Lonchura striata: one gene and its partners. The protein of the gene in region 1 interacts with the protein of each later gene in a pairwise test. Links are inferred from orthologs where the notes say so. Each region holds a gene or a part of one and is shown in the gene's direction. Other genes may lie near its edges. The genes, in order: FAM118A, MOB3C and WDR4.

Region 1 (7,408 bases):
ACAGGAATTGCAAAAGACTACACCCCAGATCAGGAGTTTGCAGAACTATTTAAGCTGCAGGAGAGATCACATTAGCAAACTGTGTTTTGGCAAAACAAAGGTTTGTTTACTGGAAAATGGATGAGGCTTGGCCATTCCATAGCTTTATTCTGCAGCTGCACAGTGCCCATCAGCACACTGAGTGCCACAGCCAGAGTGACTGAGCATCACTGTGCAGGTCACAGGTTCCTGTCCTCAGGTCTTCCTTGGGCTGCAGTTTCAGAGAATTCCAACATCTTCACCTCTGTCTCTGCACTGCATTCTGCACTCATGTGCTGGCTCCCTCTCCTATAAGCTCTCAGTTTCTTGATCTGTAGCTGTGCTCTAAGCTTGTTAAAGTTCATGCCTGGGTAGAAGAAGGAGCCACCGCACCACAAAAAAGCCACCAAGCAGGAGAAAATCCATCTTATTATTTAATACCACGGCTGATCTGTTCTAACAGAACAGAGTAACACCTCTACTTTTGTTCCTCCTTCATACAGTTTTTATTTATGAAATTATTTTGGCCAACATTTTAAATTTCTGATTTCTGACAAACAAAAAGGAGCTTTTTGCCAGTTCATCAGCAAGTTCATACAATATTATTCCCAAAGTTCATTTCCCTGACCTAGTTAAGTTCTTTAACAATAACAACTTTTTCAAGCAGAATTTGAGTATTTGCAACTTCCTGTCTGGCTTTCTCTCTCCCCATTCTTTACAGTAGTATGTTTGATTTAAATCCATTCCTTCCAGGCTTCAGAATGTTTTATTTCCTTTTACCTTCTTTCTTGCTCTCTCTCTTTTTTTTTTTCCTCTTTTGTTTTGTTTTGCTCCCTTTTTCCATTGGAGTTCTGCCTCTCCACGGTGGTTTTCCTTACTTTCCCACTGCTGCACACATAGCTGCTGTTCAGAACACATAAGGACCTTGTGACAGAGCTTCTTTGTTGTTTTGTTTTGGTTTTTTTCTTTGGTCAGAAAAATGTGCAATACAAACTCTGATCGAAGGACACCCCACTTAGTTACACTCCCTAGTTTTTCAAAGCAAACTCATGAATTCAGACTTCTTTATAAACAAGTTCAAACTGAAGTCAAGGTCAGAAAGAGGGCAGTTAAGGAGCTTGTTTCCCCTCTCATTTACTCTTTTAATATGTGCTTTTTTTGCATGTGACTGTACTGAAATGATCACACTTTCAATGTTGCTAAAAGAAGGCAGGTGCAAAGTAACTCAAAACTTTATGGTAATTGCACTCTGTTATGTAAGAGGTTACTGTAGGGAGATCTGGTTGGTGCAGATGTCCTTAACACTTGGCAGCTTTAAAAATATACCTGCAGTTACATCCAGAGTGATTTTAACAGATCATGTCACTCTGCAGGGCATACACACAGTGCTGATGCAAGTCAAAGGTTATCTTTGAAAATTAATCTTTACTTCAATCATGGGTAAACCAACTGAACTGACACTGGCTTTTGAAAACATACTTTGAATTTCTGAAAGCATCTTTCTTCTTCACAGTATTTTATAAACGATTCAAAAATACCTAGAATTTACTATTTTATTCCAGGAATAAAATTTACAATTTTGTTGTGGTAAAACTATTCCAGTAAAATCCAGTCACCTCCAAGTTAGAAAAGAGTAATCCCCTAACAAGAAGGAACTGGCAGTCCCATTGTGCAAGAAATTTTATCTCAGTCAATAGGGACAGAGTGGATTCCTGCTGTGGAAAAAATAAGGCACATGTTAGTTGGTGTCTTAAAGGTACTTTTTAGCAAGCTCGATAAGCTTTCATTATGAGCTTTCCATGGTTTCTTTCAAACCAGCAGGTTCTGGCATAATTAGTCTTGGATTTACTTTATTGTAACTTCTCAAAGATGTCAAACATGTAATGTAATCAACACTACATCTCAGTTCATAGAACCACAGCTGAATAAGTGGATGCATTGCTACTTGCAGCCAAAACCAGCCAGCTGCATTTCTTAGCCTGATTACAGACTTTCAAGTGTTATTTCCAAAGCTGGCAACAAACCCCCAAACAAGCAACTGACTTGATGTGTTTAGTGCACTTAGACAAACAGATTTACTATGAGAGATAAATCTGAGGTTTAATCAAATGTTGAACTGGTGTAGTTGTTTCTTTTAACTGTGTGTTTTACCGCTCAGACATCCTTGATTGCCTTTCTTTGTTGCTTCTTGCAATAAACTCCTTCATTTTTCAAAGTTCACAGGCTTCAACTCACTTCAAAATTCTTTTTCACTGCGACTTTTGCTCCTGAGCTTTCTGCCACTTATAATAGTGCTGGCCTGTCACTGTCATTTTTAATTGCTCACATTTTAAAATAGTAACATGGAAATTAATGAACAATAATACATTGTTATTTCTTATTGTACATTTGGAAAAGTATCTAAGCCTCTTTTGATTGTACTTTATGTAGTTACTTTTGTACTGTGTATGGTTGGAAAATATTGGTATTCTTTGTCCTTAGTAACTTTCCAACTCCTTGCAGGTGAATCCAGAGCTTATGAAATGCACTTGCTAGGGTTTTAAAATAATAGTGCAGTTTAAGGATATGAAAGGAGCAAGGCTTAGAGGAAAAGGTAACAACACCAGATTAATTGATTCAGACTGAAAAATGGAAGTGCTTTCAAAGGCCTCCCTTCACAAAAATTTCCTCTTATATGTCTTTTTAAATGAATGTAAAGTGAAGAATATTAGGCATTGTAAACCTACAGGACGGGCCAGAAGTTGAGTCTCAAGCTCAGACAAATATTTAGCAAGTCTTTGTAATTCCTGTATACAACTGAAAAAATATTCTAGGATACACAACAAATTCCTTAGTGATACATTCCAGCATTAGTACAATATAGAGTCAAATAGCATTCCAAACTGGATTTCACACATAGTTGCTGTGTTTAGGGAGAAGAAAATCACCTAGTTCTTTTAAAACACAGTGTCTTTGACCTTGAGGTTTACAGAGCCTTCAATATCAGCACGTTGAATTTCCTTGCTGCCTGACCGGCAGCAGTGAAGGGTGAAAGGCAAAGAGCTGGAAATGCTGCAACTCAATCACATCTCAGTTTCCAGGTGAGGCTACTTGTATTCTTCCTTCTCCCTCCCTGTTCTCCCTGCTCCTACCCTCCATCTTCCTTGTCCTAGGAGTACAATTCTCCAAATACTTGTTAAGCCTTTATAGAGGCTGCAATATAGTAATACAAGAATAATTACAAAGCGAAAACAGTGTCTAGGGAATATAACACAGACAGTTCACAAGGACACAGTGTTCTTCCACAGATAGAAGGTCAGTGATTTCACAGTGGTCAACACAACTGTTCCTGCCAAAACACTGGATATGGAGTAAAAACTGTGCTTATGTGTCATCTTCAAAACTGCTTCAAAGGGCGGTGGGACTGCTGATGGAAAAAATGCTGCAACTTGAGCTAAATATTGTTAACTAAACACCAGAATAAACCATGCTGAAGGGCCTGGAAGTTTTTACATTGGAAGTTTTTTACACTCTGGCTTTAAGATATTAAAAGTTAAAAAAAATAAAACCAACCCAAGTGTGAAAAACACCAAAAACACCAATCACTTGGTTTTTAAAATTTTAAAAGCTTAATAATAATAATATGGTTATAAAAATAGTGATACTATTACAGCAACAAAATTTTAGAGTTAGGACAATTACAAGACAATAAAAAGCAATGCATCATGGACGTCTGGATGTTTTTGGACACTAAGCTGCCAAAACCATGCCTTGTGAACAGAGGAATAACCCTTAAAAGCAATAGCCTGTTGCATATTCATATATCTCATACATGATGTATAAATTCCTTGCAAATTAAGAATTTTATTCTGGTTTTTGTCAACTCCTGCTCCTTAAAACTGGTGGTTCCATAAAGAGGGAGAGAAGGTGAAGGAATGTTTTTTCTGATAAGGAAGCTATAAATCTTCAGGGTTCGTGTCGCTGTTATCTCTGTGCGAATAATTTCTTCATTATCTCATCTCTTTCTTGAGCTAGTTAAAAAGCATCTTACATAGCATAGTTTCTACTTTAACAGTATGTTATAACCTAAAAAAACATATTCAACACGTCGCTTGAGAGAATTAATACAGCACAACTATCTAACGTTACACACACAAGCATTCATCGCAACGTTTGCCAACAGCAAAATATGCGGTTTTCACACCAAAAAAAAAAAAAAAAACCAAACACCAAAAAACACCAAAAACAACATCAAAAAAATCAAACAAAAAATCACACACACAAAAAAAAAAAAAAAAGAAAAGGAAAAAGAAAAAGAAAAAAGAAAAAAGAAAAACCCCCACAGCATCACGCCTGACGCTGCCCCGCCCGCCCCCGCCGTGCCCTCAGCAGAGCCGTCCCAGGTAACGCTGCCGACCGCGCTTTTCAAAAATCTCGTTTTGTTTTGCATTTTCCCCGCCGCAATGTTTTTCCTCACCAGCACGTCCATCGCCAGCCCGTTTTCAGAGCGCTACCTGGTAAACCTGCGGGTTTCCAGGCGCCTTCTCCCGCAGCGCCGCCCCAGCCCCGTGCCGGGCGCTCCTGCCCTCAGGGCTTGCAGCGCCGCTCCCGGGCCGGGACCCGGGCACCCTCCCGGGGCTTCGAGCGGACCGGCCAGGCCAGGAGCGGCTCTGGCCGCAATCTGCCTTTCGGAGCTGCCGGAACCTCGGCGGCCAGGCGGCTGTTTCCCGGCGGCGGGAGCCTGGAGCCCGTCCGGGTCGCTGCCGGAAGCCGGCGGGGAACGGGGAGCGGCGGCGGTGCCGCCCGGTGACTGCTGCGGCTCGGCTCCGGCTCCCCGTCCTGCTCTGCTCGCGCTCCTGGTCCTGCTCCGGCTCCTGCCCTGCTCTGCTCCCGCTCCTGGTCCTGCTCCGGCTCCTGCCCTGCTCCGGCTCCTGCTCCTTCTTCTGTTCCTGCTGTGCTCCTGCTCCTTCTTCTGTTCCTGCTCTGCTCCTTCTTCTGTTCCTGCTCTGCTCCTTCTTCTGTTCCTGCTCCGGCTCCTGCCCTGCTCCGGCTCCTGCTCCTTCTTCTGTTCCTGCTGTGCTCCTGCTCCTTCTTCTGTTCCTGCTCTGCTCCTGCCCTGCTCCTGCTCTGCTCCTTCTTCTGTTCCTGCTCTGCTCCTGCTCTGCTCCTGCCCTGCTCCTTCTTCTGTTCCTCCTCTGCTCCTTCTTCTGTTCCTGCTCCGGCTCCTGCCCTGCTCCGGCTCCTGCTCCTTCTTCTGTTCCTGCTGTGCTCCTGCTCCTTCTTCTGTTCCTGCTGTGCTCCTGCCCTGCTCTGCTCCTGCTTCTTCTTCTGTTCCTGCTCTGCTCCTGCTCCTTCTTCTGTTCCTGCTCTGCTCCTGCCCTGCTCTGCTCCTGCTCCTTCTTCTGTTCCTGCTCTGCTCCTGCCCTGCTCCTGCCCTGCTCCTTCTTCTGTTCCTGCCGTGCTCCTGCTCCGCTCCCGCTCCTGTTCCTCCCCTGCTCTCGCTTCGTCGAGTCAGCCCGCTGACCTGGAGTTTCAGTCGGTGAATAGAGCTCTTATTTCGCCCGTAAAACCGGAGTGTGTTGAGCAGGACAGATGCGAGATTAGAAGTTTTTTGCCGTGTCCCCTCGTTGCGCTGGGAGTGAGGAGCCAGCTCCCATCGCCGGGCATCCCTGGGTCACGGCGGGCTCCCGCTGCCAGCCCTTGTTGGGAAGCAGCTGAGCAGAGCTGCGGGCAGCCCCGAGGATGCTCCGGAGCTGCTGGCCGTGCTCGGAGCACGGGGAGATCTGAGCTCCATCCTCCTCTGCGAGGAGCGGGGATCCCTCTGCCCTGCCCGGCTGCGCCTTCCAGGAGCGACTTCAGCAGCTCAAAGGAAGCAGCGAGGTCTGAAATGTTCGTATGGACAGCAGCCCGTGGTGAGATGTTCTTATTAAACGTGGGGAGGTGTAATTAATAAAGCTTTCATGAATGGTATTGTAAATGCAAGCGAACCCAATGGGAAGAAATTACGATGTCTGACTCAATTCATAGGGCTGAATTATTTCTTTATTATAACTGCTTGTTTCCAAATTACCCTCTAGCACATGAATGTGAGAGCTGGCAACTATCTTAGGAGCCCTAGGCTCTGGCACAATGTTTATTTGAGGGACTAGGGACTGCAGTTTGCCATCACCATCACCAAAAACTGTCTCAAAGCCAAACAAAAATTGCATCCTCATAAAAAATTAAATGTAACGAAATTTGGGGGTTTCTAAGTAATGATCCCAAAGCCAGTTCTCCTGGCAAGACAGAGTCTTTCTTGTACTTCAGACATAAGACATAATAGATGATACAGTAGTAAGTTATTTTTTTCTCAGCAAGTATTTTAAATAAAATCTCTCATACCCTGCAGTCCGGTCATGTAGCTAGGTGGCTCTCAGAAGGCTTTTTGTGAGCAGGTGGGATGTGGAAGTCTGGTTTTCCACAAACTGTATTGAATAAATTGATTCTTATGAAAAAAATAAAACCATGAAACTCATTAATTGACTTGAAATGACTTGTAGTTTTAAGTGTGATAAATTTTATCCTGAATTTAGGCACAAGTATTTTTTAGCTGCATGAACAGCTGCATCTCTATTACCTCTGTCCTATGGCATTTGGAAGCTTAACTGGAGTGTGCTGGGTTCGCACACTTGTCCTTTGGCAGGTTTGTTTCCATCACTGTCTTGCTTCACTGGGATGAATGACACATGGATGAGTGACACATGGAGCCTTGATATTACAACAGTTGGTAGGAATAAAGAGAAAAAAAAATCAACAGTAATAAATCTGATTTTGGTTTTGGCTTTTTCTAGGATAGAAGCAGTAAGAATTATTTTGCCTTTTGTTTTATTCAGGGCTCAGAGATGGATTCACCAGAAGGGGCCACCATTAGAAGTGAGCAAAAATTCAGGTAACTTGTATTAGAGTTGATACAGAACTGTCTCTTAATGAAAATCTGACACCACAGTGGAAATAAACTACTGAATATTGAATACAAGAGCAACATCATGCCAGAAAACATGAAATTATCCCAGAAGCTAGTTTCTTCCCTGACCAAGTACTTCATGCTCACTCAAGTTGTTTATGAGGAGGAAACAATTTGGGCTAAATGTACCAGGGAGGCATGGGGCCATCAAACATATTTTATTTGTAGGCACTAGCTGACAGCCATACCTACATGTTTATTGCTTTGCCTGAGGCCATTTCAAGTTGAACACTATAGTTTGATCCAAATAAAGTTTGGAATGATTGTGAAATAAGATGTGTTAATCATCTTTATTACCATGTTACCAGGAACTGAAAATCTGTAAAGGTAGTTTGGTAAGTCAAGAGGAGTTCTGAGTTTCTGTACTACTGAAATCTTTGTTTGTACAGAGTGATTTTGCTGTATGGT
Region 2 (7,641 bases), on another chromosome or scaffold:
AGTTTGTCTCTCTGTAGGAGGGTGTGGCTGGTGTCAATTTTCTTCATTAACCACAACCTGATAAGAAGCTGTGATGAGTTATGAAGGTTTCTTACAGCATCTTTTTGCTGTGTAGTTGTAGGAGCCCGTTGCTGTAATGCCCACTGTCACGCTGTAATTCTCAGCCCCTTCTTTGCATTACATGACCTTTGAAAGTCCCTTCCAACCCAGCCCATTCTCTGATTTTATGACATGAACACTTCAGCTGAGCACTAAAGCTACACAGTGCAGTTTTTTTGTTGAGCTCTGTTTTACCACCAACTCTTAGGTGTGAAGTCCTGTCCATTTAGGAATGGCAGAGGATGTTTCTAGAAGAGGCAGAGCTTCTCTTGGGGCCTGGCTGAGAGGAGATGTCCTTGGTCCCTGGTAATGTCTTTTGGCTACTGTTCACTGAGTGTGTGCAGAGCAGGTGAATAATGAATCATGGGAGGCTTGCATAGAACTGTGATAATCTGAACAGCAAATCACCTTTATTAAAAGGCATTTCTACTTCTGGTTTATGGCCTTCATGCTCCATTTATCATTTTTCCTTAGCTGATAGAAGGGCTGTTTTGATTAATAATTCACTTCCTACTTTGAAAAAGTCAAAGTTGCTGCATTCATTTTTAATCTAGCTATAATGTAACATCCCCGAGAGTGAAATATAAGGCTTCCAAATCTACACCTCAGCCTCTTTCTGAGCATAAAAGATCAAATTCTCAGGTATAAGGCTGTAGTGATCTACCTGTAGTTTTGAGTGGTGTTTTTTTCCTAAACCCATCATGTAATTTTTTTCCTAAAATAAGAACTTCTCCAGGGTTTTAAAAAAGGCAGAAATGGCCAGTGACGAGCTTAAAACTGGGATGATAAAAAGGTCCAGCAGAATCTAATCCTCTGTCCCACTGAATGACTGCTGCAACGAGGAGTAACCCAGCTGAAGAACTGGCCCTACAAGCCACCCTTGCTGCAGAAACCAGCGGTGATGTGTGGCTTCTCCAGTGCCTGGGATGCATTTGTGCATGAGCTGTGCTGCCTGGCACAGCCATGGCACAGGCTGACCATGGGCATGGATGGGCACTACAAGCTGCAGAGTGGACACAGACCCCCGGGGCTGTCTGGCTTTGTGCAAATCAGCAGCTGCACCTGTTTTAACCCACTAAAAAGTCACATAGAATTTGTAAGATTTGATGCCCTTAGGATCTGTGCTGATCATGGGGAGAGAGGTAACAGAGGGAGAAGGTGGCTGTGGGATTCATGTGCCATCCAGCCACTAGAGGGAAGGGTTGTCTCCTGATTCTGAGCTCTGGGCACACACACAGCTTGTTTCGGCCTGTCTGCTCAGTTTCGTAAACTTTGTGAGTTGTGTGCCGAGAACCATACAGATGCTCAGGCTGCTTCTGTATGGTCCATAACGAGCTGGGCTGCGCTGAGTTCAGCTCACGGTTCCACCAGACCCATGTCCTAGATCCTACCTGAGCTGCCTCGGGAGGGCAAACATTCTGCAGTAGTTTCGCAGCATGTTTTGCTGATTGCCAGTCTTTTTTGGGCCAGCACCATCCCAAGATGGATGTGGCTGGTTTTACTAGCCGTCAAATGGGCACGTTCAGGGCGAAGAAGCCCAAGACTCCCAGTGGCCCCGTGTAAGCTTCAGCCCCTGCAGCATCCTGCAGCGAGGTGCTGTAGGAGCCCCCTCAGTGCTGTGGTCTGTCTCCAGCTGGAGGAGAGCCCAGGATGGGATGTGGCAGGAATTCCTGCTGGGAGTGGTGGTGCAAGTTTTGCAGGCAAAGGCTCATTGTTACCAGCATCCCAAACCTCTGGCTTGCCTACCTGCCCCCATCACCCTGGGGAGATAAAGCCAGAGTCAGTACGGCTCCCAAGGGAGGAGGTGGCAGTCAAAGCAATCAAGGAAGTGCAGATTGATAGATTAAGTTCTTACCCTCCCTTAAAATGATGACTCCAGTGCTTTTTCATCTGTGCCTGGCTTTTTTCCCTGTGCCTTAGAAAATGGCAAGACTCCAGTGCCCTCTGACCCACGGCTGTTCTCACTCCCTTTCTCTGAGTTTGCGCAGGACATGGTGGAGCAGAGCAGAGCAGGGGAACTGACTGTTCCCAACGCTGCATAGCTGTTTTCTGGACACGTCCTGTTTCTCTCTGGGAATAACCAGAGCAAACCCACTGCTGCCTTTGCTTTGTCTTCTGGTCTGCACAGGCATTCACAGCCTTCCAGCCCAGTCTGGGAACAAGCATCTCCCCAGCTGCTGGAGCGGCAGTGCCCATGAGGTGCCGTGCAGGGCATTGTGTGAGAGCCCAGCGCAGCGGTGGGGCTGGCAGGGGCTCCCCCTCCGTGTCCTGACGAGCCTCGCAAAGCTGCTTCACTGCCCTGGGCCCCTTCCCGTGCCTGCCCCTGAGCTCCGCTGGAGCCGCCAGTGCTCCGGGCTCGCTTCCGCCCTGCTTCCTTCCCCGGATAAATCCAGCCATGCACCTGCCTTCAGGAGCGAGGCCAGCATTCCCCTCTTCCTTCCTCCAGGGAAGACAAATGCCCTCGTCACAATAACACATCCCTCCTTCCCCAAAGCTGTTCCTCATACCTTTTCCTCTCTCCCAAGGGACTCCTGCTTCCCCTCCCCACAGCTGGGATACTGGGTAGCTCTGGGACTGGGCTTTTTGAGGTTTCCAAAACCTCACGTGAGGGAGCAAGTCCCTGAGCAGGAGGTGCTGCTCACCCCTGTGGACTTGTGGGGCTGCAGCTGATGTAACTCCAGCCCTCCTGCTGCTTTCCTGGCCCCTCTCTTTTGGCTCCAGACTGCTGAGGGTGGGAGGACCCCATCTTGCATGGATTTTGGCTCCATCTTGCCTGGATGTAAATCCTGGCTATGAGTTGCCTTTGGGATCTTTGCTATTCAGCCAAGCCCCCTTACTTTTGGATTTCTTCCCATTTTCTGCAGTGATTTCAGCTGAAAGTTTCCTCCTGGCTTGGCATTTGCTGTTGGGAGTTACATCTACTTCACAGACCTCCACTTCCCGCTCACAAGGTCTCAGGGCATTTTGTTGTTTCCTGCATCCCAAGTCCCCAGGATGGAGGACAGCAGCATTGCTCAGCCCTTGCTGGGACTTGGGGTGGCTGTAATGAGCATCCAGCACTGGGGATGAGAAAAGACTTTGCCTGAACCTGCTGGAGTCAGGAATGTGGCTGGTTTGGTGGTAACCAGGAAGAGTCTGCTGGATTACTTGAGCTTGATCCTGATTTTAGGGATGTTACTTGGACCTGAGGCTACCTGCAATGGCTGTGAGAAATTCACTCATGAGCAGGACAAGGCTGGTGTGGAAAAGGCTCAGCCTGCAGGTCCAGGGAGGATGCACACACAGAGCTGAGCTCTGAGGTTATGGCTGTTGTACTGGCTTAGCTGGTGACAGTGGTGGTGGGAAGCAGCTGGACAGATGAATTTCACAGCTTGTGCTTCCCTCCTGCCTCAAGAGCTGTGCAGGGCACTTAACCTCACGGTTTTACCTTTTCTACAAATATGAGACACCTCAGCCATCTCATGCTGTAGTGGATGCAGAGCACAGAATCCTGCATGTCCTTGGTGTGTCCTTCTCCTGTCACCTGGTTCAGGACCTGGCCCTCAGCCATGTCCCAAGTGGGGACAGGCAGAAAAGCAAGGGGCTTCTCGGGTGTGCAAGCTCCAACTCCTTTCAGCTCCAGTCAAAACTGATCCACCAATGGCTGCTGCCCAAATAAATGGGCCCTACAGTGCCAAAGAGTTCCTATTGTACCTGCACCAAACCAACCTCACAGAGAAAGGGAGGAAAGGAGAGTAAATGCCTTGCAGGGCTGGGCTGAACTCCCTTGTAGCTGGCTGGTCTGGGAGGCTGCTGGATCAATTTATTTTTAAAGACTGCCTCTGAACATTGTGCCTTAAAAGCAAACCCTGGCATCACCTGCAGCTGAGAAGCTGTGTTCTGGGGGAAGGAGTCTGGATCCTGCAGAGATGCATCCTGCTGCCAGGCAGGGTTCAGGGACTCAGCCCCTCATCCTGAACCCTCCAGCTTTATGCCAACGTGTCCATCAGCCACATCCTGCTTGCCCTGTGCCGCACTCCCCAGCTCGCCCCATCACCTGCAAACGCTTGGCTTGACCCGGGTTTAACACGCGTGTACGAAAGACTAGAAACGTTTCCCTCACTAGAACTGTCCTGCTGCCAAACAATTTGCAGACGTTTCACTAAGGCCAGAGCATCACACATGTCATCCCCTGGGAGCGACACGTCACCGAGCCAGGAAGGGACCGTGAGTGACAGGGCCACGCTCTGCCTCCGCCTGCTGCGACACCCGCCGGCATCCCCCGTGGGGTGCACGCCGGTGTTCCAGCCCCACCCGGGACTCCGACCCCAGAGCACATCCCGGCTCCTGCCAAGCCATCCCACGCTGGCTGGCCGCTCCTGCCGGCGCCGAGCGTGCTGGCTCGGGCTTGCCTTTGCTGAGCAGGATTTAAATACCGCAGCGCGCTTCAGAACTCACCCCACCTCCGACAGAAACGGAAAGTAAGTGCTCTGGGCAGAGAAAGTTTTTCTCTTTCTTTTCCTTTCTCCGGCATTTCTGTTTTGGATGGCATCCAGCTTAGCCTGGCATGGAAACCCCCGGCTGTTTTTGTGGGTGTGCAGAGCGGGGAAGGATAAAGGGAGAGGGACTGTGAAAAGATGGGGGGAGGAGGGGAAAAGACTCCGGGATTTCATCTCCTTTCCCCAGCTCCCCGCTGTCCTGTGAAAGCCGGAGCCAGCCAGCGGCACGGGACTGCACGCCAAGAAGGATCTCAGCATCCAGGAATGGAGCGTGGGTGCGGGTGTGAGTGAGTGCCCACCCAGGAGCCTGCGAGCCACGGCGGCCGATGGTGGGGGCTGGCAGGCCCGCTTCCAGGCGGGTTTTCCAGGGACAGCTGGAGCTGCCGGCAGGGTCAGGATGTGACATCACTGACCGGAGAAAAACCCTCGGCCCCGGCTTCTCTAACGAAACCCCCGTGAGCGCTGGAGCGAGGCAGTTCTCCCTGCCGCTCTTGCTGCTGCCATCTCCAAACTGACAATAGTCCCGACAGAGAGCCTGGCTTGGACTTTGTATCTTTTAAATTTTATTTTTCCTTTTTCCTGAATAAGAGCAGAGAGTGCAGAGGAGGGATTTGAGACTGGAAGCCACCGTGCCGGGGGATGAGGTGAGTCCTGGGGGGTAAAAAGCCAGCACCGCACTCCTGAGGATGCTCCTGGGGTGCTTTTAAGCGCGGGACGGGCAAGACCTGGGTTGGCATTAGCCTAGAAAAGAGCAATTCTTCACCCAGCCGGGCCATGGACGCCTGCAGAAGGCTCTTCCCCTTCCTCTGGGGCGTCCCGGCTCAGCAGCCAGTGTGTAAATACCAGAGATCCCCTGTTCGGGGGGTAGGGATCCGTGCGAATGACCGGCGGTGCGCAGGGAAAGGGAAAGGGGGTCCCTCCGGGCAGGGAAGGGGGACAGGCAGGGGAAGGCAGCACACGCGTTTCCCGAACGGGACAGCGCCCGCAGCGGCTTCGCCGGTGTCGGAGGGAAGGTGGAAAGTTGTGGGCGGAGGGACTGGGTGAGAACAAGCGGTGGAGATGGGTTTTCTTATCTCCTCTCGCCTTCTTCCTTGAGCTCGCAGGCCTGGAGCACCCGGTGTTTGGAATTATGGCCTGACAACAGAGTAATCACCCTTGGGACTGAATCAGAGCTCTTGGACACCACTGAGGCCATTGGACACTTCAGGGCTCGCAGCAAGTTACTGCTAGTAGCAGTGAGGTCTCAGCTCCCAGGAATGAGGTACCCCCAAAAAGCCCCCAGCCCCTCTGGATATCATGGCTAAAATGAAAAGGACATGCTGCCTCTAACCTGGAGAGATGCTGCTTTGCTTTTCTGCTTGGGTGTGTCTTGTGTGATACAGGAAAACCTTTTTTGTTGCCTTTGGGCCAGAGCTGCTGCTGTGCTGGTGGTGTGGCAGGGAGGCAGGGCAAGGAGCAGGACAGAGCAGGGGGACAGCAGGGGACATCTGTAGGGCGGGTGTGAGCAGTCCCGTTCCTGGAAGCCATCTGGGTCCATTTCTCACGAGCTGGGGATTTCCAAGCACCATGTGAGTTGGGGGAAGCTCCAGCACAGCTTCCCGCTGGCAGCTGGCCCCAGCTGGAGTGTCGGAGCCTGAGTCCTGCTCTGCTCCAGGGATTTGTGCTCATGGATGCTCTCAAGGGTCTCTGCGGCACCAGGGGAGTTTGTACAAGGAAGGTTTGGCAGGGAGATTCTGCTGAGAGCCCAGGGCTTCTCTGAAGCTCCCCCAGCCTATGTGCTGGTTCTTGATCCCCCTCCCAGCATTTTGTCTTGGCTCATTTCCTGGAATTTTCTATCGTTTAGGTTATATTTGGGATGAGCAGCCAACAACCCCGTTTCTCACGGACAGCCCAGCTGGGGCTTGGCTCCAGCAAGAGGCACAGAGGGAGTGGGGCCAGTGCCCCAGACTCTGCTCCCCAGCACCCTCCTTCTGCAGCCCCCCTTCCTTAGATTATTACAAGGCTGGAAAGGCTTATAAAAAGAGGGAATATGCTGCCTTCCCTGGAAACACCATTTGCCCACAGTCCCTCCCTGGCTCAGGGCTGCAGTGTCTGCAGTTCAGGGTTGCCTGGGAGAAGTCTTTGGGACATGAATCCCAAGAAGCAGCCCTGGTTGCAGAGATGCTCTAGGACAGGCTGAAGACCAAACTGCATCTGGACTTATTTGGGGCTTGAAGAGAAGCTCAGAGACAGGGCTACTGACTCCTCAGCCACGCAGTGAGGCTTCCTAGTGCAGTGAAAAGCCAGCTGGGGCCTGCAGGTTTCTGGGCAGACTGTCCATCTGGTGGCTGGCTGGCTGTCTCAGGGCTCTGGCACATGGGGCTGAGCTGATGCTGTCCTTCTCCTCCATCTGGGATAGGGCTGGGTGGGACTTTGACAGTGCCTGTGGTGGGGAGAAGGGAATCCCCTAAAACACAGAGACAGTAAATATCTGGGTGCCCCAAAGGCAAGATTCCCTGGGGAAGCCCAAGGGGGATGTGCAGAGCTGGTAGTAATTAACCTACACTTTGCTCTAATGTGCCTGAAGCTGGACAGGTCTGTGCTCTGCCTCCTTGGCCTCTTCCCAAAGCAGTGGGAGCTGGAGTCTCTCTGCAGGTTGCCCACAGTGCTGTACCCCTCGTTGTGCTCCCCAGTGGTCACACTGCCCACGAGGCTTGGAGTGTGCTGCTAATGCAGCAGTTTCCAGGCAGATGCTTCTGTCTCGGGATGGATCCAGGGAAGATGCACTTGGCACTGGAGCATGGGAGGTGCTGGTGCCAGAGCTTTCCTCTCTCCTTATCCTTCATGGTTGTTAGTCCTTCCCAGACACCTTTTCCCCTGAAGCCTTTGCTGTTGCAGCCCATAAAGGGAGCCCGGGCAGGGAGATCAGTTTTAAAATTTGGGACACTGATGCAGGGAGCAGGACTGTGAGCATCACTCTGGAGTCTGGCAGTGCATCTGTCTGATCCTTCCTGCTGGTTTTCTAACTAAAGCTTATTTGGGGTCAAAGCCAAAAGTTTTCTTTGGTGATCTTGCCCCCATGCCT
Region 3 (7,839 bases), on another chromosome or scaffold:
CATAAGAATGGCAGCTACCAAATCCTTCCAAAAAAAGAGAAGAATGAAAACAAGTGTTGTCATATAAAACTCATGATTTTGCTCACAGTGGAAACAATCTTGTTTCCATTTTATAAGTAACTGTTTTATGAAACTATAAATACAGAGAAATGAAACCACTTCCTTTCATAGCATAGCTGGAGATTGAGTATTACTGACAGATTATAACAATTAGCAACGAACAATTTATCTTCCAGAAAGTCACTGCCACTCTGCCAGCTTCAGTACAAAGATCAGAGAAGATGTGGAAACCCTTTAAAAATGTCAAACCCTAGCCCAGATGAATTAATACTGTTCAAACAATTTAAAGCTGTACCCTCAATTGTGCTGCTTTCTCCAGCCTGGACTTCTGATTCCTGCATGGTCTCCTCCCTTGCTGTGGTGCCCATCGCCAACACTGTGCTTCCAGAAATCTCTTCCACTTTAGGAGAAGTTACTTGTTTTGCTTCCAACTCTTGTGCCTCCTTCATCTTTTCCTTCGCTCCTCTGGATAGCAGATCTTGCTTTTTATCTTCCTGAGTCACTGCTGAGGCTTTCAGCTGAATAGCTGCTACCTGGGTTCCAATGGACTTTTCCTCCACATGATCAGATTTACGAGCGACCTCTGTCAGGTTCAGACTTTTCAGCACATGTGGTTCTAACACCAACTTCCGTTCTTTTGGAGGGGATTTTACTTTGGGGTCTCTTGCTTTGGATTTTGATGTTTCCTGGCTGACTGATGTTTTAGAAAATTTGACCTGCTTCACAGGAGACACATTAATTTCTGGTTTGCGTGGCAGCTTCTTAATTCCGTATTCTTTGAGGGATTTCTGGGACAATTTCTCTTTTGCCAGCATTGATGCCTTTACTGCTATGTTCTCAGAAAAGATGGCATCTCGTCTGGGAAACTCAACTTTAGTTTTAACAGCAACTTGTGAATCATCAACATTTTCATCCTCTGAATCTGAGCTAGAATCTGACTCTGAGCTGGATGAAGTCTGTTCCTCAGCTAACTCTTTCCTCAGGCCTCTTCCTGCTGCAGGTGTGGTGAGTTTTTCCTCCTCATGGGAGGAAGCAACTCCTCCTCGCTGAGGAAACGCAACCTCAGTTTTTCTTGATATGGGCATCCTTGTGTCTTCAGCAGGCTTTGCAGCTTCCTTGAGGGTGGTACTAGAAATGCTCTCACCTTTGTCTGCAGACAGCAGGAGAGAGCTAGAAGACAACATTTTACGAAATTCAACTGGTGCCTTCATGGCAAGCAGCTTGGTGCTTCCCTGTGGTGCCACTACATCTAGGAAACGGCATAAAGAGGATTATCATCATTGTATCTGACATCACTATTACTGATCTTAGTCAAACAGTTTTAACTTTCTAAGATAATCTGGTACAAAAATAAACTAAAAGCAATTATAATGCTAAATACAGGCATTGCAAAGCAGGAAGTTTTTAGACTTTTTAAGTAAAAGGAGCTGGAGTTCTACTAGCACATAACAGTTTTTGCTGCTGCAATGCTGAAACTCAAGAGATAAACCCTTATGTTCCTCACTTTGCCAGACCCCTCCAAGAGCTGGTTTTCCCTGTGCTTCAACTCTGCAGCACTGGAAAAGGTCTGCAGACACTTTCCTGTCTCAGGTGAGCATCAGGATGGCTTGTCAGCCAAGCTTTTCAAGTGCTGCTGCAGTGTCAACACTGGTCTGTGAACAAGCAGAAGCAGAGACACAGTAAAGAGCCACAGCTGCTTGCAAGAGTTATCCTGGAAGGCGAAGGGAGGGATGACTCCCAAAAGGAAAAGCAGCAGAATAAGAGATACCTGAGGCCATCCAAGTATTTATTACTTGTTCACTGCCCACATGAGCTGCTAGCTGAGGTGTGCCCCCAGAGCTCAACACTATTTCCCCAAGACCTCATCTCCTCCAGGCTTCACTTCCTATTTTGTTCAAGACCTCTTTGTTAAAGAGGTCTTAGAAGATCTCCTGATGCTTCACATTTGTTTCTCAGTTTCTTCTCCCTCGTGGACACCTGCATTAAGCTAAACTCTCCAGACAAGGAACCAACAGTTGAAGGAGAAGGCAGCAATTTTCAGGTCCTTCCAGGGAATACATAATATCCCTTGGGTGCTTATTATCATCCTCAGGAGGCTGAGCAACAGCAAATACTGTTGTGGTTACAGAAAACAGGATGTCAAGGAGGACTGGAAGCACATTAAGAAGATTCACCATGGCTGAAATTTGCTATATCAAAGCCAACTCCATTACAAGTTGCATCACTTCCAACCAGCAGTAAAATTCAACAGATTTCCAGCCCATTATACAGATTTTTCTGCAAAGTTTGGAAATCCAGATCTACTTTATATGCCCATAAACTAAATTCAGCTCACTGGTATTTTATGGTAATACCTTGTATGATTTAAGGAGTTATTACCATTAGTTCTGAACAGAAGCAAGTCTTTAGCAATGTCTAAATGAAAACATCACAGAAGAGACAAGCACACGAAAACAAAAGCAAAGTATTTAAGGAAGAAACACAGAGTTTTTATCACAACAAAATACAATGAAAAAAAAATGTATCAAGTTCACAAGTAGTATTTTGAATAATTTCAAGCACATACTTCTCTCTGCCAGATGGAAGGTGCAGGATGGGAAGGAAGGGCAGGGGGAGGCAGGAGGATGGGCAGCCACCTTTGGAAGAGGTCTGACTCCCTGCACAGACTGACCCAGCCAAACAGCAGCCTGGAGAAACTAACACGTGAGGAAGTGTCAGGATGGAAGAGCTCTTCAGAGAGGCACAGCAGAGGTTAAACTAACACAAGAATGGCCAAAGGGAGCATAGACAAGGGAAAGCTGAGCAAAACCTGAAGAAGTATTAATGTTAAAACATCCTAAGAAATCAAGAAGGCAGGGAAAATTCAACTTGTCCATTAGTTACTGGAATAATATTTTAAACAGTTAAGTTTGGATAAGTGAAAAAGATAGATATTATGATTAAAAGCTGAAACATCCAATACAACTGATCCACTTTAATTAGGGTATTTCAAACTTTGCACCAGCTAATCTGTACCTGCATCACTTTGCCAAAAGAACACCACCTCCAAATCAAGAAACACCATTCCCAGATGTGTTCTTCCTGATGCTTGGAACATCAGCATCATTCCCAGCATGTATTTAAAGGCTGATCACACTCAGAGAGGTGACAGGCAGAAATTACAGGCCTATTTCCCATCATTGGCTCTGTATGTAAACACGACCACTTTATCAAAGCAAGGAGAATTTGCACATCCTGTTCCAGGCAGAATCTGGCAAAGGCACTGCACCCTATAAATCTTAATTAACCTGGGGTGTTTGCAGCTGGCCTAAAAGGGCTTCTGAGACAAATCAGAGCTGCAGGACAGTGAACCCAGAAACTGATACTAAAGTGCATCTCAAATACACTTAATGTAAAAAAATAAATCATAATAAAAAGCAACTTGCTGTTCAATCAATCTATGCAGTGAAAGCTTCCTCAGCCAGGTTTTATTTGCTTTGGCATTTAAGAAGGTGGCAAAAGTCTGACTTCAACTGCTCTTTCAGTGATCTTTTCAACAGCAGTCAACAAATCTGATGGTTCCTACATATGGTTCCATGGAGCTTTCCTGTTTCAGCACCTGGATCTCTAATTTGGGACAGGAAACCTCACTGAACCACTAAGCCTCCATTTATACAAACAAGACATCAATCTCTGAAATTTATATTGCCTTTGGTCAGGGGTAAATGGGGTTCAAATACTCCTCAATGCGGGATGCAGGGCAGCATCCAAACCCAGGCTTGCAGATCTATGGGGCAAGAAGCATTATTACCAAATTTAACACACAGGGCCATGGCAGCTTCTTACACTGCTGCCTGGAGCTGCTATTTGGGATATTTGGATTTTGGAAGTCCTTCTCTATCTCAGTCCTTCTATTTTTTAATCCTGATAACACAAACGTTTCAAAAGACAAGGTGAACATCTAAAGTTAAGAATTATATTTTGCACGTCATTAAGAACATTTCCAAGGATGGGACATCCACAGCTTCTCTGAGCAATCTGTGCCAGGGCCTCACCACCCTCGCAGTAAACAATTTTTTCCTGATATCTGATCTAACCCTAATTTCTTTCAGTTTGAAGCCATTCGCCCTCCTACAGGTTGAACAGCTGAGTTATGCAGCCCGGCCTTGAATATTAACATGAAGGAACACAGGAAAGAAGTGACAAGTTCATAAATATAAAACTATGTATGTATATATGTGTATATATGACTTATAAATATAACGCACACAGCCAGACCTTTACTTTTATTACTACAAGGTACATTTTATCAGAAACTCTCGTTTACATGGCGATGACCTTTCAGTCCTTGCTTTTCTCAGCTTATGCAGCGCCTCTTGCGAGGCCTGACTCTTCGCCATCTCCCCTGCCCCATTCCTTTTACTGACACCCCGACACCCTTCACACCCAAACCACCCTCTTACTCTTTGGCGGCGCCGTCCCGGTGCCCACCGGCTTCGTGCAGAGCCCCCTCGCCTCCAACTGCAACACCTGCAATAAAAGAGTTAACACAGCGGGAGGAAACCCCTACAGCGGAGGGCGTGCGGGAGCAGGAAGCCCCCGGAGGAGCCCCTTTACCTCGCGGCTCAGCGCCCTCCCGCCGCCCCTCAGCGCCGCGGCCGCCGCCATCTTGCCCGGAGCCCTCAGGGCGCCCCCGCGGGCTGGCGGTGGGCGGTGACGTCACGCGGCGACGCCACGCGGTGACGTCACGCGGCGGCGCGGGCGCATGGCGGGCGGCGATGGCGGCGGGCGCAGCCCCGGGGCCCGCCCGGCGCTGGCGCTGCGCGGGGCCGCGGCCGTGGCGAGCGCCGGGGGGCGGCTGCTGGCGGCGCGGCCGGGCCACAGCGGGTCAGTGCGGGGCGTGCGGGGCCGGGGCGCTGCGGGTCAGTGCGCGGCACGGCGGGCCCGAGCGGCGGAGGCCGCCTGGCGCCTCCTGAGGGGGCTCGCAGGGCCCCGTGTGGGGTGAGGGGAGGTGCTGGGGCAGCGAGGGAGCCGCCGGCCCTGCGCAGGTTCGTGCCTTTCCCAGCGCCGTGTCCGCGTGTTCTGGGACGGAAATGCCACTTTGCAACTTTGTAGCCTTGCCGGTTTTCTGTCACGGTTGTGCTCCCCCAGTTGGGCTATATATAGCATAGAGAATATATATCGATATATGCACACTATATATATAAAATATAAATAATATATATACAATATTTTATATAGTGTATATTATATATATTATATATTTTTAAATATATTTTTTATATTTTTTATATATTTTATATATATACACTCCATATTTATGTAAGCACACATATATACGTATATGTTATATCTATGTATATGTTATATCTATGTATATGCTATATACATGCATATATGTTATATACATACATGTGTTTTATATCTATAACAGTCTATATGTATACATATCTTATGGAAAACATAGGTATATATATAGCATATATATGTATATATGTAATGTGTATATAGCACATGTATTACATGTATATGTCTAACATGCATAAAACTGTAAATGCCTAGAGTGTATACAAGATTATTTTATATATATATATATATATATATGTATATAAATACATATGTATACAAATACGTATAAATGCCTAGAATGTATACTACATATATATATACACACACATATGTAATAATGGTCTATTTTATGTCCATAAGGAAGGTGCATATAAATATCTCCAAGGTGGTTGCCAAATGGATGGTGCCAGGCTCTTTGCATCTCCTGTTGCCCAGTGGCAGGATGAGGAGCAATGGCCATAAAATAAAACACAAGAAGTTCCACCTCAACACAAGGAAGAATTTCTTTCCATGGAGGTGGCAGAGCTCTGGAACAACTGGCCAGGGGGGGAGTGGAGTCTCCCTCTCTGGTAACATTCCAGAGCCATCTGGACACGTTCCTGTGTCACTGTTCCAGGGGAGCTTTCCTGGGCAGGGAGTTGGACTGGGTGATCTCCAGAGGTCTTTTCCAACCTGAATGATGCTGAAGTTCTGTGTGGTGTCTGAAGGGAGATGTCAGAGCATGGGCCAGGCTCTGCTCCGTGGTGCCCAGCAGTGGACAAGAGGCAAGGGACAAAACTGATGCCCTGGAAGTTCCACCTGAGCATGAGGAAGAACTTTTTTATTGTGCAGTGACTGAGCACTGGATCAGATTGTGCAGTGAGGGTGTGGAGTCTCCCTCTCCAGAGATACTCCAGAACTGTCTGGGCACAGTCCTGTGCTGTGTGCTCTGGGGTGACCCTCCTCAAGCAGGGAGGTTGGACCAGCTGACCCACTGTAGTCCCATCCAATCTCACCAGTCCTGTGATTCTGTGACTGGGTAAATGCTACTGACAGATTTGCTGAGAGTGACAGAAATAAAATTTATGCAAAATACAGGGTTACTGCACCAGCAGGGAAGAATTTCCTTTTTGACATGTCACAGTCCAAAATTTTAAGCCTTTGCCACATCTGTAGCACTCTGGGAGACCACTTGGGTAGAGGTGGTTCTCAAGATGGGAGGCAGTTGTGCCCAATAACTAAAATAAGAGAATCCTACTAAACAGTTGCTATTTTCCATAGGTAAAGCTGCTGGTTGTTCTAGTGCAGTAATTTTAGGTTTGTTTTTCCCTTGCAGTGATGAGAGTCTCTTCGTGTATGATTGCAGCAGTGCAGAGAAGCAACCCTTAGGAGAGAAAGGGTGAGAAAATCTGCTCTTTTCCTGGAGGGTGCATCTCTGAGCTTGTGTGGCTGTGGAGGCAGCCAAAAACCCACAGGATGACTCCTTGAGCAGGTGAAGGGTTGGTTTTGCTAACCCTGATGGTTATGTATGGATCTGGTTTTTGTTTCTGTTTCATCCAGAGTTTCATTCCACTGTGCACCTTTCTTCTCTTTTTTTTCTAAAAAAAAAAAAATAGCAGTGGCAAAATCAAAATCAGTAATTCTGTCTCTTGTCAGTCAAGACATTTGTGGAAAAGTCCTGCATTCTTTGTTAGACATCTAAGACCAATAATATCCACAAAGTTCTTAAATAAGTTCTTCTCCAGATCTGTTCTGTAAGTCATGAGAATTCAAAACACACACACAAAAAAGTGTTTTTCATAGATTAGATTCAACCACTGGATATTGTTTTACTTGTAGCCAAACAGGAAACATTTTACTGGTTTCCTCATAGAGAAATAACTTATAATTTTTATATATATTTATACCTCATATATATGTTTATACTTCATAATTTATATCAAGATGTGCCAGCACAAACTTTTGTTTTCTAAACAGGCTTTGACCTGTCAATTTCCTTTGTCTTGGCTTATTTTTTTGCACTAATGTCTGGGTTGGTTCAACATTCTAAGCAGAAATAAAACTGTTTAAAGTTTACTTTGTTCTTTATGCTCCTGGGTGGTTTGGGAACAACTCCCTGAGGGAATTTAGTAGCTATCAGGTTGTGAACTGTTGGTTCCTTCTCTCTATTAGGCAGGATGGAAAAGGGACAGATAAAGGAAGTGATGACATCCTGGCCTTTGCCTTCTCCCCATCAGGAGGTTATTTTGCCTTGACAGATGACAACAAACGCCTGATTCTGTTCCGTACAAAGCCTTCCTGGGAATGTGTTAGTGTCAGGTAAGGAAGCAGGATGGTGCATGCTGTTATGGACTTCTGCATTTACAGATCTAAAATGGGAGTATTTGGGATGTTGATATTTGTTACTACTTAGCTTCCTTTCTTTTTTTTTTTTTTTTTTAATTCCCTCGCTCAAACAAATTCAGTGTTTAG

Evidence for each region.
Region 2: the proteins of FAM118A (region 1) and MOB3C interact in binary tests that used the Homo sapiens proteins (3 or more experiments, as listed by UniProt). The link is inferred for Lonchura striata from reciprocal best matches to the Homo sapiens genes FAM118A and MOB3C.
Region 3: the proteins of FAM118A (region 1) and WDR4 interact in binary tests that used the Homo sapiens proteins (3 or more experiments, as listed by UniProt). The two-hybrid records come from large-scale screens. The link is inferred for Lonchura striata from reciprocal best matches to the Homo sapiens genes FAM118A and WDR4.

Annotation. Positions count from the first base shown.
Region 1 is NC_134607.1:5,729,147-5,736,554, reverse strand, and holds the start of FAM118A (protein FAM118A), read left to right. Parts: upstream 1-4,377; 5' UTR 4,378-4,400; intron 4,401-5,655; exon of another isoform or gene 5,656-5,909; intron 5,910-6,869; 5' UTR 6,870-6,878; coding exon 6,879-6,925; intron 6,926-7,408.
Region 2 is NC_134611.1:12,503,378-12,511,018, forward strand, and holds the start of MOB3C (MOB kinase activator 3C), read left to right. Parts: upstream 1-4,546; 5' UTR 4,547-4,559; intron 4,560-4,764; 5' UTR 4,765-4,852; intron 4,853-4,986; exon of another isoform or gene 4,987-5,170; 5' UTR 5,171-5,221; intron 5,222-5,673; exon of another isoform or gene 5,674-5,680; 5' UTR 5,681-5,838; intron 5,839-7,641. UniProt on the Homo sapiens protein: May regulate the activity of kinases.
Region 3 is NC_134604.1:112,210,544-112,218,382, forward strand, and holds the start of WDR4 (tRNA (guanine-N(7)-)-methyltransferase non-catalytic subunit WDR4), read left to right. Parts: upstream 1-4,804; coding exon 4,805-4,926; intron 4,927-6,703; coding exon 6,704-6,766; intron 6,767-7,539; coding exon 7,540-7,686; intron 7,687-7,839. Other genes in the region: NDUFV3 (NADH dehydrogenase [ubiquinone] flavoprotein 3, mitochondrial), read right to left, coding at 356-1,309, 4,503-4,569, 4,657-4,707. UniProt on the Homo sapiens protein: Non-catalytic component of the METTL1-WDR4 methyltransferase complex required for the formation of N(7)-methylguanine in a subset of RNA species, such as tRNAs, mRNAs and microRNAs (miRNAs).